Ovis aries: one gene and its partner. The protein of the gene in region 2 purifies or fractionates together with the protein of the main gene of each other region. This does not show direct contact. Links are inferred from orthologs where the notes say so. Each region holds a gene or a part of one and is shown on either strand. Other genes may lie near its edges.

What was found. Proteins that work in one complex are often made in the same cells at the same time.
Region 1: the proteins of PHB1 (region 2) and SLC25A5 purify together in Homo sapiens (affinity purification with mass spectrometry; 3 studies listed by BioGRID and IntAct, with this or other methods). This does not show direct contact. The link is inferred for Ovis aries from reciprocal best matches to the Homo sapiens genes PHB1 and SLC25A5.

The regions. Positions count from the first base shown.
Region 1 is NC_056080.1:114,993,381-115,001,330, forward strand, and holds SLC25A5 (ADP/ATP translocase 2), read right to left. Parts: upstream 4,581-7,950; coding exon 4,470-4,580; intron 3,491-4,469; coding exon 3,004-3,490; intron 2,826-3,003; coding exon 2,685-2,825; intron 2,288-2,684; coding exon 2,130-2,287; downstream 1-2,129.
Region 2 is NC_056064.1:36,924,673-36,932,700, reverse strand, and holds the start of PHB1 (prohibitin 1), read right to left. Parts: upstream 4,397-8,028; 5' UTR 4,199-4,396; intron 3,653-4,198; exon of another isoform or gene 3,564-3,652; intron 3,130-3,563; 5' UTR 3,103-3,129; coding exon 3,015-3,102; intron 1,559-3,014; coding exon 1,397-1,558; intron 1,391-1,396; exon of another isoform or gene 1,201-1,390; intron 1-1,200.

The sequences.
Region 1 (7,950 bases), on a different chromosome or scaffold from region 2:
TGTCTAATTATGAAAAACTCACATCAGAGAGCTTACTAGATGCCGGGCACTACATTGATTGCCTTACATGCTTTATGTTATTTAACTCTCACTCCCAAGACTCCAAGGAAATATGGCTAGCACTGTTATATCCCCATTTTACAGATGAAGAAACTGAGACCTAGGATAAGTGACTTGCCCAAGGCCATACAGTTAAGTAAGCAGCAGAGCTGGGATTCAAATCCAGGTACTTCTGATTTTGGAGCCCCTGAAACCTTAACTGTCTGTTAATAATTATCATAGTTACCACTTACAACGTTATGTATGTTCTATGGTAGATGTGGTGGTATTCACTCAGTCACGTACAACTCTTTGTGACCCCTTGGACTGTAGCCCACCCGGCTCCTCTGTCCATGGAATTCTCCAGGCAAGAATATTGGAGTGGGTTGCCATTTCCTTCTCCAGGGAATCTTCCTGACCCAGGGAGCGAAATGGAATCTCCTTTAATCCTTGAAACAACTCTCAAAGGCAGGCATTATTAGTATCCTCATTTTATAGATGAGGAAAACTGAGGCTTGAAATTAACTTATCCAACAGCACAGTTGTGGCAGAATCCAGGCTTGATACCAGTAGTCTTGTGGTTTTTTTTTTTTAGCAACTTTACTAAGATATTTTTTATTGTCAGTATCACTGAAGGTAAGGGATAAATCCACTATATAAAAACATTGTGTATATTTAAGGTATATAACTTGGTATGTGTACATTGTGTTGACTCAGGTGCTTGGCCAGGTGGCACATAACAAAAAACACTAGGATCCTGTGGGCAATAACACCTGCCATGCAGACCCTATCTATGAGTGGCAGATAAACATGCTAGCGTTATGTCGCATTCCTCAGGAACTTTCACCTGTGCAAGTGGATTACCTATCATTTTCTACTTTGAATGTTGTGGTTTGCCAGCCATGGTGCTTCCTACAAACCTCATGTTTTAGGTAAAATCCCTGTATTTCTGAGGCTACAGGAGCTGCAGAAATTGCAAACACACTCTCATGTGGATCCCAAGGAAGGACTCTTCCAAAAGAAACACGCATCCTCCATTAACTGGGCTGATTAAAATGCCAGCCAAAATGTAGATGCAGTTTCCTTTTTGTAGTGAGATTTGGGTTCTTGGCAGCTCTCTCCATAATCTTTAACAGTATTGCCATCTCAGCACTGCCTAACTATGCCAGTTCTAATCCTCTGCTTTGAACAGGATTAGATTGACTTGAGACAGGTAAAGATGGAGGAGGGAAGGCAATTGGACAAAAATTGCTGTTACCACCTTATGGGCTTCCCTGGTGGCTGACAGTAAAGAATCCACCTGCAATATAGGCCTGGGTTTGATCCCTGGGTCAGGAAAATCCCCTGAAGGAAATGGCAATCCACTCCAGTACTATTGCCTGGAAAATCCCATGGACAGAGGAGCCTGGTAGGCTACAGTCTATGGGGTCGCAAAGAGTTGGACACGACTGAGCGACTTCACTTTCACAACACTTTTGTTTAAATGACATGAAACTCATGGAGGAATGAATTTCATCATGAAATGAGATGGAATTCAAGTGTAAAATTCAGCTAGTATTTCATTAATAAGCACAAGATAGGAAAGGTGGTTCCAGAGTGCTTTTCAGAGAAAGCTCATTAGCTGTCACTGTCCACAGGCAATGGACCAACAGTTTTCGGTTGCTCTGGGTCTGGAATGTCGATGGGTCACACAGCCAAGGTGTTCTTTGCTAAGTGGATGGCTGAAGATTGGTTTTAGAAGAAAGCTCATCACCTCAGGATATACTGCAGCATTTACCCAAACATAGCCCTTACTAAATTATCTAATGTACTTTCAAATGAAAATAAACCACAAACAAAACTATTCCAGGTATTTTTTATTTCTTCAAATTTGTTATTTGCCAGGAGTGACTGAAATAAAAAACTGGGTCCCATCGTCATCATGGAAATGGCTTTAAGAGAAAACTGGTCAGGTGAATATTATTGCTTCCCATTTTCAACCAGTAAATAGTTGCCATAGATAAATAGACAGCTAACAGTCTGTCAGGAATGCTCAAGATATGTTATATAATACAACATGCCTAGTCACAGGAGAAAAACTAGGAAATAACTTAGGTGAACTTCTTGATTTCATCATACAGGACAAGCACAAAAGCCCCGCCCATGCCTCTGAGAACATTGGACCACGCGCCTTTGAAAAAGGCTTTGGCTCCTTCGTCACGAGCAATCTTCCTCCAGCAGTCAAGCGTGCCTGTGTACATGATATCAGCTGCAAAGGACAAAGACAAAGGGTTGGTGACCCGAGGCTGAGGTGAAAAGTCCTTAAGTTTAACCAGACTAACCCAGAGCCCCACCTCTAAGAGCTATTGTCAGTTTTAAAAAATCCAACATTTACACATTAGTGTGGCCAATACTGCAATCTTAATATGGTGACTAAAGGACAACGGGGAGGTGCAGACAACCTGCTGGCCTTAACCTCTAACACCAGGCAAGCCCCCTTGGGCATAGGCACCCAAAGGGCCTGCTGAAAGGAGACTGTGCAGTGGACACAGACCAATCAACCCCACCTGGGATCTCAACAGACTGCCATTTTCAAAGGCAGGCATGGCTGGTCTGTGCCCATGTGCCATGCCCACATCTGTATCTTTTGCTCCAGTGGAACTTACTTCCTTTGCGCCCTGACTGCATCATCATGCGGCGACGCACAGTGTCGAACGGATAGGAAGTCAACCCAGCAACCGCCGTGACTGACTGTGCGATCATCCAGCTGATGAAGATATGAGTGTTCTTGGGATCTGGAAGCATTCCTGAGAATAGAAGAGAGACACTTTTACCAGTAAGCAGAGTCTTCCTGACTTGTTTTCCATGTCCCCCACCCCCAACATCTCTGTACACAAAGGGCTGTACGGGGTGACACTGGCTGCCTTCAGATAACCCTTTAAAAGTTCTCACATGGACAGTTCTGAAGCCCACGGGCAAACTTACCCTTCGCAGTGTCATATATACCGAAGTAGGCAGCTCGGTAGATGATAATACCCTGCACAGACACGTTAAAGCCTTGGTACAGGCCTCTAATCCCGTCAGATTTGTAGATCTTAACCAGGCAGTCACCGAGGCCTCTGAATTCCCTTTCAGCTCCAGCTTTGCCCACGTCGGCTGCTAGACGGGTACGGGCAAAGTCGAGAGGGTACACGAAACACAGGGACGTGGCCCCGGCGGCACCACCTGATGCCAGATTTCCTGCAAAGTAGCGCCAAAACTGGGTCCTCTTATCCACACCACCCAGGAAGATCTGCTTGTATTTATCTTTGAAGGCAAAGTTGAGAGCCTGGGTGGGGAAGTATCTGATCACATTGGCCAGGTTACCACGCCAGAAGGACAGGACTCCCTGCTCCTTGGGGATACGAACCACGCAGTCTATGATGCCCTTGTACTGCTTATCTGCAGTGATTTGCTTGCTGGCATGCTGCACCTGACAGACAAGGAGGCCAACAGAAAGAGTGATAATCACAAGAAGGGAAGAGAATATAGCATCTCAACGGACACCCTTAAAGGTTAGCTGGCTCCCACCTGCCCCAAGTCTGGCCTTCTAGATCCCACAGGTGGGACCCTCCTAACCTTCTGCCGCTGTCACAGCTAGAAGCATTAAGCCTCCACCCCTCTGGGTGAGGAGGTGCCACCCTCAAGCGGAGCTGTGACCTTTAGACCTGGGAGAAAGGTCATTATCTCAGACCCTGGATCAGAGACATTAGGGCGCGTCCCACATCAGGCGCGGTCACCCTGGTGACCGTGGTCTTCGCCTAAGGTCCCTGGGAGCAGCTTCCCTCCCGCTTGGGTCCCCCTCTCCTGGAGGTGACCTGAGGGCCACCACCCGTCAGCCTGTGCGGGCGCGCCCTCTAGAGCCGGAGTAGCAGAGCGCGCCGCCAGGCCGCGGGAACGCGCCAGCGGCCGCGCGGGGGCAGACGCACAAGGGACACGCGCTTCCCGGCGCCGGCTTCCGGCCCGGCCGGTCTGAGCGCGGCTGCCGGCTGCGAGGCCGCTCCACCGACCGCGTGGCCTCCCCCAGGCTGTTATCTCCTTGCCACGACCCTGAGGTCCTCGGTACAGGCAGGTGTCCCTCTTTTCAGCGTCTTCGCCCTTGACACAAGGCCCGGGAGCCAGTCACTCCTGGGCTGCCCCATCCGAGTTCGCTGCCTCTGGGATGCCCAGGCCCTGGTCTTCCTCCGCCCACCCTCCGCCCCCGACCCTTCCCGAGATCCTAAAGTTCACATCACTAAAACACCTCTCTCAAGTCTGCCTTTTTTGGTCCTACCCCGCGGCCACCCCTGCTCCCACGCTGCCACTTCCCTGGGCAGATCTCGAGGGCTGGTTCCCCCCAGGCCCCGGACCACCGCTTCCCGCGCGGCCCCTCCCCCCACTTCCTGGTCAGGCTCTCGGATTCCGAGACATACCTGCAGCAGCAGCTTCACCCGCTCGATGGGCGCGACCGCGGTCTTGGAGATGGCCGCCGCCACTCCACCTGCCAGGAAGTCCTTGGCGAAGGACACGGCGGCATCTGTCATCTTGGAAGGAAAGAGTAAGCGGACGACTGAAAGATCGACGAGGAACCGGCTTGGACTCCGGGGCTCTGGGGCGGAGCGAAGCAAATGGCTGATTTATATAGGGGGAGCCGGCGCCTGGGCGGCCGGCGTCGGGGGCGGGCCCTGAGCCCCGGCGCGCAGGGCGGCGGGGCCGCTGAGTGGCTGAGCGCGCGGAGGGAGGAGCCGTGGAGTGTGGCAGGGACCGCCCTCCGCGCTGCCCGGGCTCGTCCGCAGCACCTGACCCGGCCCGAGGAGGCGGCGGCCCCAGAGTACCTGACCCGGACGCGGGACCCCAGGGGAGGCTCCGGGGCGCGGAGGGGGAGAGGTCACGGTGTGCCTGGACCAGGGTGAGGCGCAGTATTTAAGGGGACCCTAAAGAACCAACAAAAAACATACCCCCCCTCGCTACCCAAATTTGGTTGTCAAGAGAAATAATATTGAATGCAATATTTTAAAAATTCATATAGATAAATTGTGGCGCGCTGGTCGGTCGCCTGTTTTTGTAAATCAAGTTTACTTGGAGCCCCAGGGCTAGGGTGATGGTGAGGCAAGTGAGGCAGGGCCCTGCCAGTGCAAGAAGGGAGCCTGTCTTTATTCAGAAATTTGAAATGTTCATCAAGGATTTTTGCATTCCTTTGGATTTTTAAAATGGTGCATTAAAAAGAATCGTTCATTTTGATTCCTGAGTTGTTTGGTGTCCGCTAACATTTGGCGCCCGGCCAAGTACCTCACTCTCCTCACCCTAAGTCTGGCCCTGGCCTGGAACTTCGCCGGTGTTCTGTTCAGGTCAGTTCAGTCACTCAGTCGTGTCCGACTCTTTGCGACCCCATGAACCGCAGCATGCCAGGCCTCCCTGTCCATCACCAACTCCTGGAGTCCACCCAAACCCATGTCCATCGAGTCGGTGATGCCATCCAACCATCTCATCCTCTATCGTCCCCTTCTCCTCCTGCCCTCGATCTTTCCCAGCATCAGGGTCTTTTCCAATGAGTCAGCTCTTCACATGAGGTGGCCAAAGTATTGGACTTTCAGCTTCAACATCAGTCCTTCCAGTGAACACCCAGGACTGATCTCCTTTAGGATGGACTGGTTGGATCTCCTTGCAATCCAAGGGACTCTCAAGAGTCTTCTCCAACACTACAGTTCAAAAGCATCAGTTCTTCAGCGCTCAGCTTTCTTTATAGTCCAACTCTCACATCCAAACATGACCACTGGAAAAACCATAGCCTTGACTAGACAGACCTTTGTTGGCAAAGTGATGTCTCTGCTTTTTAATATGCTTTCTAGTTTGGTCATAACTTTCCTTCCAAGGAGTAAGTGTCTTTTAATTTCATGGCTGCAATCACCATCTGCAGTGATTTTAGAGCCCAGAAAAGTAAAGTCAGCCACTGTTTCCACTGTTTCCCCATCTATTTGCCATGAAGTGATGGGACCGCTGGTGAAGCCAGAGGAAACTGGAGGAGCGTTCAAAAGGACTGGGCTGGAGGGTTAGGAAATTATTTGAGCCAAAAGCCAAAGCATAGAGGGTATATCGTTAAGGTTAAGAGGTTGTGTGAACTAGATTGGTATGTGGGTCTCTGGGCCCAGGTAAAGCACTCTTGCATTGAGTGGATTGCTAATCTCCAGAAAAGTTTAGAGGAATCAACAGAACTAGATTGACACACCCATTGTCGTCAAGAGACAAGGGCTTGTTGACTCCCTTAATCTCTGCACTGGGAAAACGTTTGCCACACATGTCCTTAAAAACCTACTTGTTAGCTTAAATGCCCTTCCTCAGATTCAGAAAAGAAGCTGAAGGTGTCCTCACAAATCCTATGTCTAAGTCATCACAGCCATGTTTACAGAAATAACTGTTGAAAATACTCACTGTAGCTGAGCCCTAGGTACCCAGCACACTGAAAACATAGATGGCATGCCACTCAATTTCTTGCCCTCTCCCGCCTTCTCCAGATCTGCCTGTTAAAGGACCCAACTCTAAGATTCCTCTGGGCATGTCAGGTTCTTCCTCTAAGTATACTTTGCAATTCATTAGTCTTTCCATGAACCCGAGCAATCCAAAGTGATGAGCACACACAGCACATGTTCAGAGAAGAGCAATTTTCACTCCAGCTTTGTTGATCCTGGGGGCTATCTTTGACCAGTGTTCTGGAGAGGCCACTTGTTTCTCATTAGTTGATTATAATAGAAATGCAGCTGGATACAGAAATGACCTTGCTGTGCAGTTTCAATGATAGAGTGTGTTCTCTGAAAGTGATAGCCAATCCTCTACCTCTACTGGTGAGAGAGTGAACAGTGAAAACAAAACATCAACAGCATTTTGTTTAGAGGGAGGTGGTTTTCGAATGCATTTCACTATACAATTCAAAACCTTTCTAGTCTGAACTCTTGACATTCTGATGAATGCATTTTTATTCAAATATTAATTACCCTGACCTAGCTCACTATCACCTATGTACCCTTTTCTTTTTTAGCTTTTCCTTGGCCACATCTGCTGCTTCCACTGAGCATGATATGCCTGCCATATTCAACTCCAAAACTCTCTTATTGTTTCAAGGATCTCCACATTTACTGTTCTGTTACATTTCGCTCTCCACAAAAAGATGATCAAATAATTACATAAAATTTGCCCCTTCTCAGTCTTTGGGTTGGAGAAGGCAATGGCACCCTACTCCAGTACTCTTGCCTGGAAAATCCCATGGGTGGAGGAGCCTGGTGAGCTGCCATTTATGGGGTCGCACAGAGTCGGACACAACTGAAGTGACTTAGCAGCAGCAGCAGCAGCAGCGGCCTTTGGGTGCTTAAGTGTAGTTTTACTGAAGGTGAAATACATTTAAGAGTGACTCCATGCCATGACTTGGTATTTTGCTGAATTCACTGTGAGCTGGAGCTCTCCTGGCTGCCTATGACCAGGTATACTTAAAGGAGTTGGATGTTCTCAAAAGTGTCAAGGTCATGAAAGAAAAAGAGACTGAGGAACTGTCACAGATTAAAGGAGACTAAGGAGAAAGAGGTTAATACAATGTGTGATCCTGGATTGGATCCTGGACCAGAAAAAGGACATGGTGGTACTATTGGTGAGATTTGGACATATAATCTGTAGATTAGTTAATAATATTCTACCAATACTATTTTTAGTTACAGTGGTTATATAAGATGTTACCATTTGAAGAAGCTGAGTGCAGGATACATGGAAATTCTTTATACTGTTTTTTTTTTTTTTTGTGGGCAACATTTTTATTTCTGAAAGTTAAAAAAATTAAAAAGTCAAAAGAAAAAAAAAGAGGAAAAAGAAAAGAAACCAGGAGCAAGAGTCCAGGCAAACAGGGACTAATGTCAATGATAATGATGATGA
Region 2 (8,028 bases):
CTGCTTCCCTCCACACTGCATACCACACCCCACTCCTAACGCCTGTCCACGCCTGTCTCCCTTGCTAGATCGAACTCCTAAAGGCTCCAGCTTTACTCATTGCTGAAGTACCCCACCCTCCGAACCAGCACAAAGCCTGACACTACCATAGAAAGCAAACATCTGCCAAGGACCAGCAACATCCACGCGATCCCCTCTTCCTGCACAGAAAGGCTGCAGCCGAGCCAGCACCTGCCGCTCCATTTACTGCCGTGCACCTCTGCGTGCACGATAGGGAGGGGAGAACCGTGACAATAATTCATTTCGGGCTCCAACCAGGGAGTTGGTGGCATGTCAGACACCAAGTTGCTCAGGGTGTGGGTCCCGGCCCAGGAGGTAACAGTGTGGGGCCAACACTGCTGGAAACACAGGTCTAGAAGCAAGGCCAAGGGCAAGCCAGCTGAGAAGGCAACATAACGGCTGGATCAGCGTACAGTCACCCCGGGGGCAAGAGCTGATGGGAAGGGCCAACCGCGAGAGCAGAGGCACACTCAGATTTCTTTAAAGCTGGATTGCGATGTGACTACTGATATACATCCGCCCATTTCCCTAAATTCATACAGTTGTGTGTGTATCTTGAATATACAGGCACAGCTCATTTATTTGTGCTTCGCATACACTGTATTTCCTACAAATTGAAGGTCTGGGGCAACACTTTATCAAGCAAGTTTACCACCATCATTTTTCTAACAGCACCTGCTCACTTCATGTCTGTATCACATTTTTAAAGATACTTACTTAGCTGCTTTGGGTCTTAGTTGTGGCACATGGGATCTTTTGCTGCAATACGGGGACTCTCTAGCCTTAGTTGCATGGGCTCTAGTTCACTGACTGGGGATCGAACCGGTATCCCCTGCATTGCAAGGCAGATTCTAAACTACCAAGAAAGTCTCTCTGAGTCACATTTTGGCAACTCTTAACAACATTCCAAACTTTCCAATATTATTACATTCACTATGGTGATCTGTGATGTTACTATTATAATTCACTGAAGGCTCAGATGATGGTTAGCATCTTTTAGCCATAAGGTATTTTTTAATCATGGTATGTACACTGTTTCTTTAGAGATAGAGCTGTTGCACCTGTAACAGGATACAGTATGGGATAAACATAACTTCTATTCTATATGCACTGGGAAACAAAAATATTTGTGTGACTCACTTTATTACAACATTTGCTTTGTTGCAGGGGTCTGGAACTGAATTCATAATGTCTCTTCAGGCATCCTTGTATACTTCTTTTTCTGTAGCCACATAAAACTCTTCAGGAAAAATATTTAGGGAAGTTCAACCCATTCTGGATCCCACAGCACCTGTTCCACACACTCCACTTTACCTGACCCACAGATGAGACTTACCTTTGCTACCAGTGATTACTGGCACATTACGTGGTCGAGAGCGGCAGTCAAAGATAATTGGTTTCTGTACCCAAGGGATGAGGAAGTGAGTCCCTTCTCCTACGACAATGTCCTGCACTCCCCGGAACCGGTCAAAGATGACAGCTCTGTGCCCAGCATCCACTGGGAATGAAGGATAACAATGGGTCACAAAAATCCCCTCACCCTTAACCAAAAGGATCGTGTCTGAAAGGCCCCTGGTGTTTTCTGATTATATAGTAAGTCTCTTGCTCTGTCTTCCCACACTTCAGGACTCCAGAGGCTTCTTAACAGCTACGAAACAAAGCAATCACTTTCTGTCCTGTGTCCTCCTAAGGACTTTGGTAACAGGATCTATTCTCAGCATTCTTCCTCCTTGAAACAACTGGCTGCTGATTTTCTGATTAACCACTCCACCCGTGAACTCCCACCAACACATTCCTAGGAACCAGCTCCCCAAACTTCCTTCTAAAACTCAGTCCATCCTGGTTCCAATTTAACCCAGTATTCCCAGAAGTAGCACCCTTCCTATGGCAATCCTAAAATTTGGAAGTCCTCATTTTTTTCTTTCCAACAGCTTGGTTTCTCTAAAATCTGAAGGGGTTATAGAGCTGTCTTGCTAATTTCAGAGAGAAATTAATGATGGTGATTACAGTCTAGCCATGCAGGGTGGCCAAAAAGATCAGAGTATAAAGCTGGGCCACAGAAGCAGAGCAGGCTTTTCTGATCAGCCACTTTCTGTCTCTGCCTTTTTGGGCTTTATAGTTGGTCCAGTATCTTCACTCTGAAAGTAATCCTCCTGCTGTCAGAGTCTCGCGTGAGATGGGTCAATCTATTGCTGCTTTCCAACAGTGAAAAGTTAAGAGAATATCAAAGCAGGAAGTATCTTAGACATAAACTAGTTCAATCCTGCTGCTTGACCAATGAGAAACCTGCGTCCTATGGAGGAGAAGGTGACTTGCCTAAGGTCACATAGGAAAGTGGAAGAAAACCTAGCTGTTTTTATTTTTTAAATTTTTGGCCACACCGCTCCACCTACAGGATCTTAATTCGTCAACCAGAGAGCAAATCTGCACTCCCTGCAATGGAAGGACAGAGTCTTAACCACTGGACTGCCAGGGACGTCCTCAAAAGACAGCTTAAAGCCTGGTTACACTGTTAAAACCTGGGCAATGCATCTCAAAGATATTTTCTTGGGAACAACTCAACTAGAGCAGAGCAAAAGTTTTTGCTCAGATCAAGGTCACCAAAGGTCTAAAGCCCTTGCTGAGTTACTCCCCACATAGGCAGAAGAGAACAGACTCTCCATTTCAACTGGCCAGCAAAATCCTGACATACTGATACTTTAACAAGAGAAAGTGGAAACACCCAACTAGGTTGGGAGGCTCTTTGTAAAGAAAGGTTCTGAGAGAACCTAAGGCTCCAAGGACAGAGGTTCTGATGACAAGGCCATCATATGGTGCAGGATGGCAGCAGGTGAGCCTTCTTGGTCAAATATATTCACAGCAAGTGGCTGCCAACAGGAGTGTCACATGGGCTAGGCAGACCAATGAAAATCCTCTGGCGAAGGTCAGTGACCCACCACCCCTCAGTGCCTCACCATTATACAAGGCAGAGTTCACCACGCCTCCTGCAACGGCTAAGGCAAGCCCAAACTTGCCAATGGACTCAAACACTTTGGCAGCCATGTCTCCTGGGGCTGGACCCACTCACACCTAAGGGGGTAAAAACAAAACAAACAAAACAACTCAATCCCCAATCCTCAGAGGAAGCCCTCTCTGAGGCATCACATGCATTTCTCAAGCTAGCTATTTATTTCCCCACTCCTGAGAGCTCTAAATCTTCAACTGAAAGACATTTCATAAATAACATTCTGCAGCTTGTAAAAGTGTATAATCAATTCCTCTGATCTTCTTTTTCCGCTACTTTCTTCTTTTTCTACTACTTAAGAAATGGCGTCTGGGGTATTGGTTCCAAATGGGAAGGAGACATGGGTTGGATTACCCATAGAAAACTTAGCACCATACCAAAAGAGCCTCTCATCTCCTGGACCTGCAGGCCCCAGAAGAGAGGCTGTGGGGTTGGTTCTGTGTGATTTTGATTCAGAAAAGAACGTGATTCCAACAACAAAACAACAGTAGCAGCTAACCTTTACAATAGGCAGTCTTCTAACATCAATTGGTGTATTTAATCTTCACATCAACCCCTATGAAGTAGAGGACTACACAGATGAGGAAACTGAAGCACAAAGAGAGGTTAAGTTACAAGAAAAGCCTAAGATCACGCAGCTATGAAGGAGGCAAAGACGATTAGAACCTGGAAGTCTAATTCTAGAAGACACAGCTTAACTCCTCACCACGGTTTCTCAACATCAGGTATGAAGAATGAATAACCTGTTATTATGGAAGCAGGCTCTGGATGACGTTCTGGGGTCAACAAATCACGAGAAATAACAGGGCCCAAAATGTACTAAACAGCTGCACCGCGAGCAACAGCCCTGGAACAGGTGGGGGTGGGGGCAGAAGCGGGGTGGACGGGAGCGCGGCGGACCTCTACAATCTGCTCTTGCACTGAAACTTTGTCTTTCCCCGCCCCCATCGTCGTCGGCCACTTCAGCCTCTACCCCTCCTTCTCAGGCCTCAACTTCTGAGTATCTTCATCTCTATCCGTGCACTTAACTATTCCATTCCCGTGATCAGGACGCCTAGTGCTGACCCCTCGGCCTTTCCATTCCTAATATCTTCTGGATTATTCCTCACCCTGCCCCCATACACACCTACCTACCTCTACGTAACTCCTGGCTCCTCCCAGGCTCACCCCCTTCCCCTCCGACACGAGGCGGACCCAGGCACACACTCCGCCCGCCCAAACTTGAGGAGAATGGGAACGCAGAGGGGGGACTGCAGAGACGCCAGAACGCGGACCACAGCCGCTCCCCAGCTTTCTCACCTGCTTCCACTCTGACCTCCACATGAATTCCCCAGCCACAGACAGCGCGTGCGCCGGACAGCTCCTCCATGTCCCCGCCCTACTTCCAAGATCCGCGCTTCGGATTGGTGAGGACGAGCGCGATGCACTCTGGGAAGGGTGGCTTGCTGCCTTACTGTTGTTCCCAGACTCTTCGCAGATGAACTACAATTCCCAAAAAGCCATGCGGGGGTTGACCCGCGCTGAAAAACCTTTTGTCTTTGGTAGTACTGAAGGCCCAGAGATTGCCGCAAAGCATTTGGGGGGCTGTAGTTTCTTGGGGGATAAATGCACGTGCCTGTTGTGAACTGAAGCTGGAGGCTACCAGATGAGCCCTAAGGCCCTCAGAAAGAGTAGCTGGGCCTGCTGGCTGGTGGACGAGATGGGCAAGGGCAAGTTTATGGCTGATGAAAGAGGGCGGGTGTGCATGGGGGATAAAGTTGTGAAGTAACTGGTGGACTGAGAGACAGAGGAGATATCTTCTTTCCAAAGCCCTGTCTAGAAGCGACCTGAGTTGTGGGACATTGATTGCCAGAGTCAGAGAGAACCTTAGAAACCATCTGGACTAGAAAATGAGGTCCAGAGAGAGGAAGGGAGTCATTCAGGGTCATGCAACAATTTAAAAAAGGGATTGGGCTTAAAGTCTGGGTTCGGGGGACACATTTGTAAAAGTCTTATTTGGAGAATTTGCAAAGATAGTGCAAAGAAGATGTGTAATCTTTACTCAAATTCACCTACTGCTAACAATTTGCTCCATTTACTTTTTTGATCTAAAGCAATAAAATAGCCAGTTATTTTATCAGCAAATTGGGTTTACTTGAGAACAGCAAAGAATTGCAATTCTGGCTGAGCAATCTATGGCAACCCACAGGCAAGTCTGCAGAACAAAGCAGAGGACTTTTCTTTTTTAGTGGAGAAGGGTGACTTGGAAGGGACTGTCATAAACAAAGTTAGAGGGAACTGGGAATCAAAAAGTGTGGCTTTTCGTTGTCTCAGTTGTGACAGTCTCTTTCTTATTGGCTGGGCTGTTTCTGAGCAAGGAGAAAATTTTCCTTCCTTCTGCTGGAAACTAAAGTAGTAACCTTTCTATTGGAGATGCAAAGCTGTCTCTTCCTGTTGAGTCTCTACCTGTTGGTAGGTTGTGAGAGTTCCCCTTTCTGTTCTCCTGACTCAATTTAAAATGAGGTTTCTGCTTATTAATTTTCACATCTTATCATTTGTTCCCTCCTCTCTCTCTGCCTCCTTTTTTCTCTCTCTTTGTATTTTCACAGAATAAGGATATCCTATTACATAACTTGAATAAATTTAATATACCTTCTACATCCCATTTTTTCGATTGACCCAGTAATGAACTTTATAGCAGTCTTCTCCTCTCAGCCTCCAATATAGAAGGCAGTCAAGATTTGGTACTGTATTTATTTTTCCTGTCTCTTTAGTCTTCTTAATTTGTCCTCAGGCTTCCTTGCCTTTTGTTATATTAAAATAGAAAAAAAGAATGTTCTGGTATTGGGTTTCTCTAATGTTTCCTCATAATTAGATTTGTTGTTTTGCATTCTTAACTGAGGTAGCTAAGTGGTGTATGGACACTTAATTTTAACGAAACCAGGCCCGTTTCTGGATTCTAGTATGATTGGATTCTTTCAACTTCTTTTTCCTGCATTCCTCTCCTCTCTGTCTCTCTTTTTTGTCCCCGCTTGGCACCAGTGGGGTAACAAAGGGCCAGAGATATGCATGGGCAGCACTCTGCAGGTGGTAGGTATTTACCCTCAGGGCCCACAGGCTTCTCCTCTGCCTACCAGAATACAAGCTCTATGAGGGCTGAATATTTAGTCTACTGTCTTCGTTGTTCTGTTCCCAGAATGTACAACAGTGCTTGGCACACAGTGGGCACTCAATAAGTATTTATTGAATGAATGAATAATGAAGAGCATTGATGTGGCTGGCTAGGCAGACTGTGGCCAGGAAACGCAAAGCAGGATGCTCCAGAATCCTGCAAGAATAGCCTTAGTATTGTCTGCTTCTATTCTCATCTCACTAGCAGGAATGCTGAAAATACGAAACAACAACAACAACGACAATTTTTGTATGTTTTATAACTTTCAAGTCTGTGTATCTACAACATCCCACATGAGCATCATTACAACCCCTTATGTTCTGCAGATAAAGTCAAAGTTCAGAGGTTAAATCACTTGTTTGGGGTCACTCATCTAGTCAGAGCCCGACTGAACTGGATCACACATCTTCCAGGTCTAAGCCCTGTTTCCACTTCCCCTCTATGTCCTGGGAAGCAAAGGGAAAGCTTTTCCTGTGTTACAGGAAAGCTCATGTGACATGAGGGCACTGTGTGGGACTGGCCTGGTTGTAGGTGGAGAGATGGGAAGGATAAAGGATAATCATACTGAGGGGGTTATCTGGGAAGAATTTAATTGGGCTGAGGCAAAAGTTAAGGAAGAGCAGCATTGGGGCAGTGTGGAGATTCCTTAAAAAACTGGAAATAGAATTGCCATACGACCCAGCAATCCCACTGCTGGGCATACACACCAAGGAAACCAGATCTGAAAGAGGCACATTTACACCAGTTTTCATCACAGCACTGTTTATGATAGCTAGGACATGGAAGCAACCTAGATGTCCATCAGCAGATGAATGGATAACAAAGCTGTGGTACATATGCACAGTGGAATATTACTCAGCTATTAAAAAGAATGCATTTGAATCAGTTCTAATGAGGTGAATGAAACTGGAGCTTATTATACAGAGCGAAGTAAGTCAGAAAGAAAAACACCAATATAGTATATTAATGCATATATATGGAATTTAGAAAGATGGTAAGGATGACCCTATATGCGAGACAGCAAGAGACACATATATAAAGAACAGATTTTTGGACTCTGTGGGAGAGGGCGAGGGTGGGATGATTTGAGAGAGTAGCATTGAAACATGTATATTACCGTACGTGAAATAGACGACCAGTCCAAGTTCAATGCATGAAACAGGGCACTCAAAGCCGGTGCACTGGGACAACCCAGAGGAATGGGATGGGGAGGGAGGGGGGAGGAAGGCTTAGGATGGGGGATACATGTACATCCACGGCTGATTCATGTCAATGTTTGGCAAAAAACAAACAAACAAACACTACAATGTTGTAAAGTAATTAGCCTCTAATTAAAATAAATTAATATTTTAAAAATTTAGGGAAGAGCAGATTTGGGGCACCAGCTTCAGGGGTAGATCCAATTTATTGCTACACAAGGCATTTACCCTTCAGCTCTTCTTCCAGCCAGGTGTGCACGTTGGTGTTAAGAAGAAATAATCTTGAACACTGACTGTGAACCACTTGCTTCATAAATACACAGTCTTATTTCAATTCAGTTCAGTTCAGTTGCTCAGTGGTGTCCAAGTCTTTGCCACCCCATGGACTGTAGCACACCAGGCCTCCCTGCCCATCACCAACTCCTGGAGTTTACTCAGACTAATGTCCATTGAATGGGTGATGCCATCCAACCATCTCATCCTTTGTTGTCCCCTTCTTCTCCCACCTTCAATCTTTCCCAGCATCAGGATCTTTGCAAATGAATTGGTTCTTTGCATCAGGTGGCCAAAGTATTGGAGTTTCAGTGTCAGCATCAGTCCTTCCAATGAATATT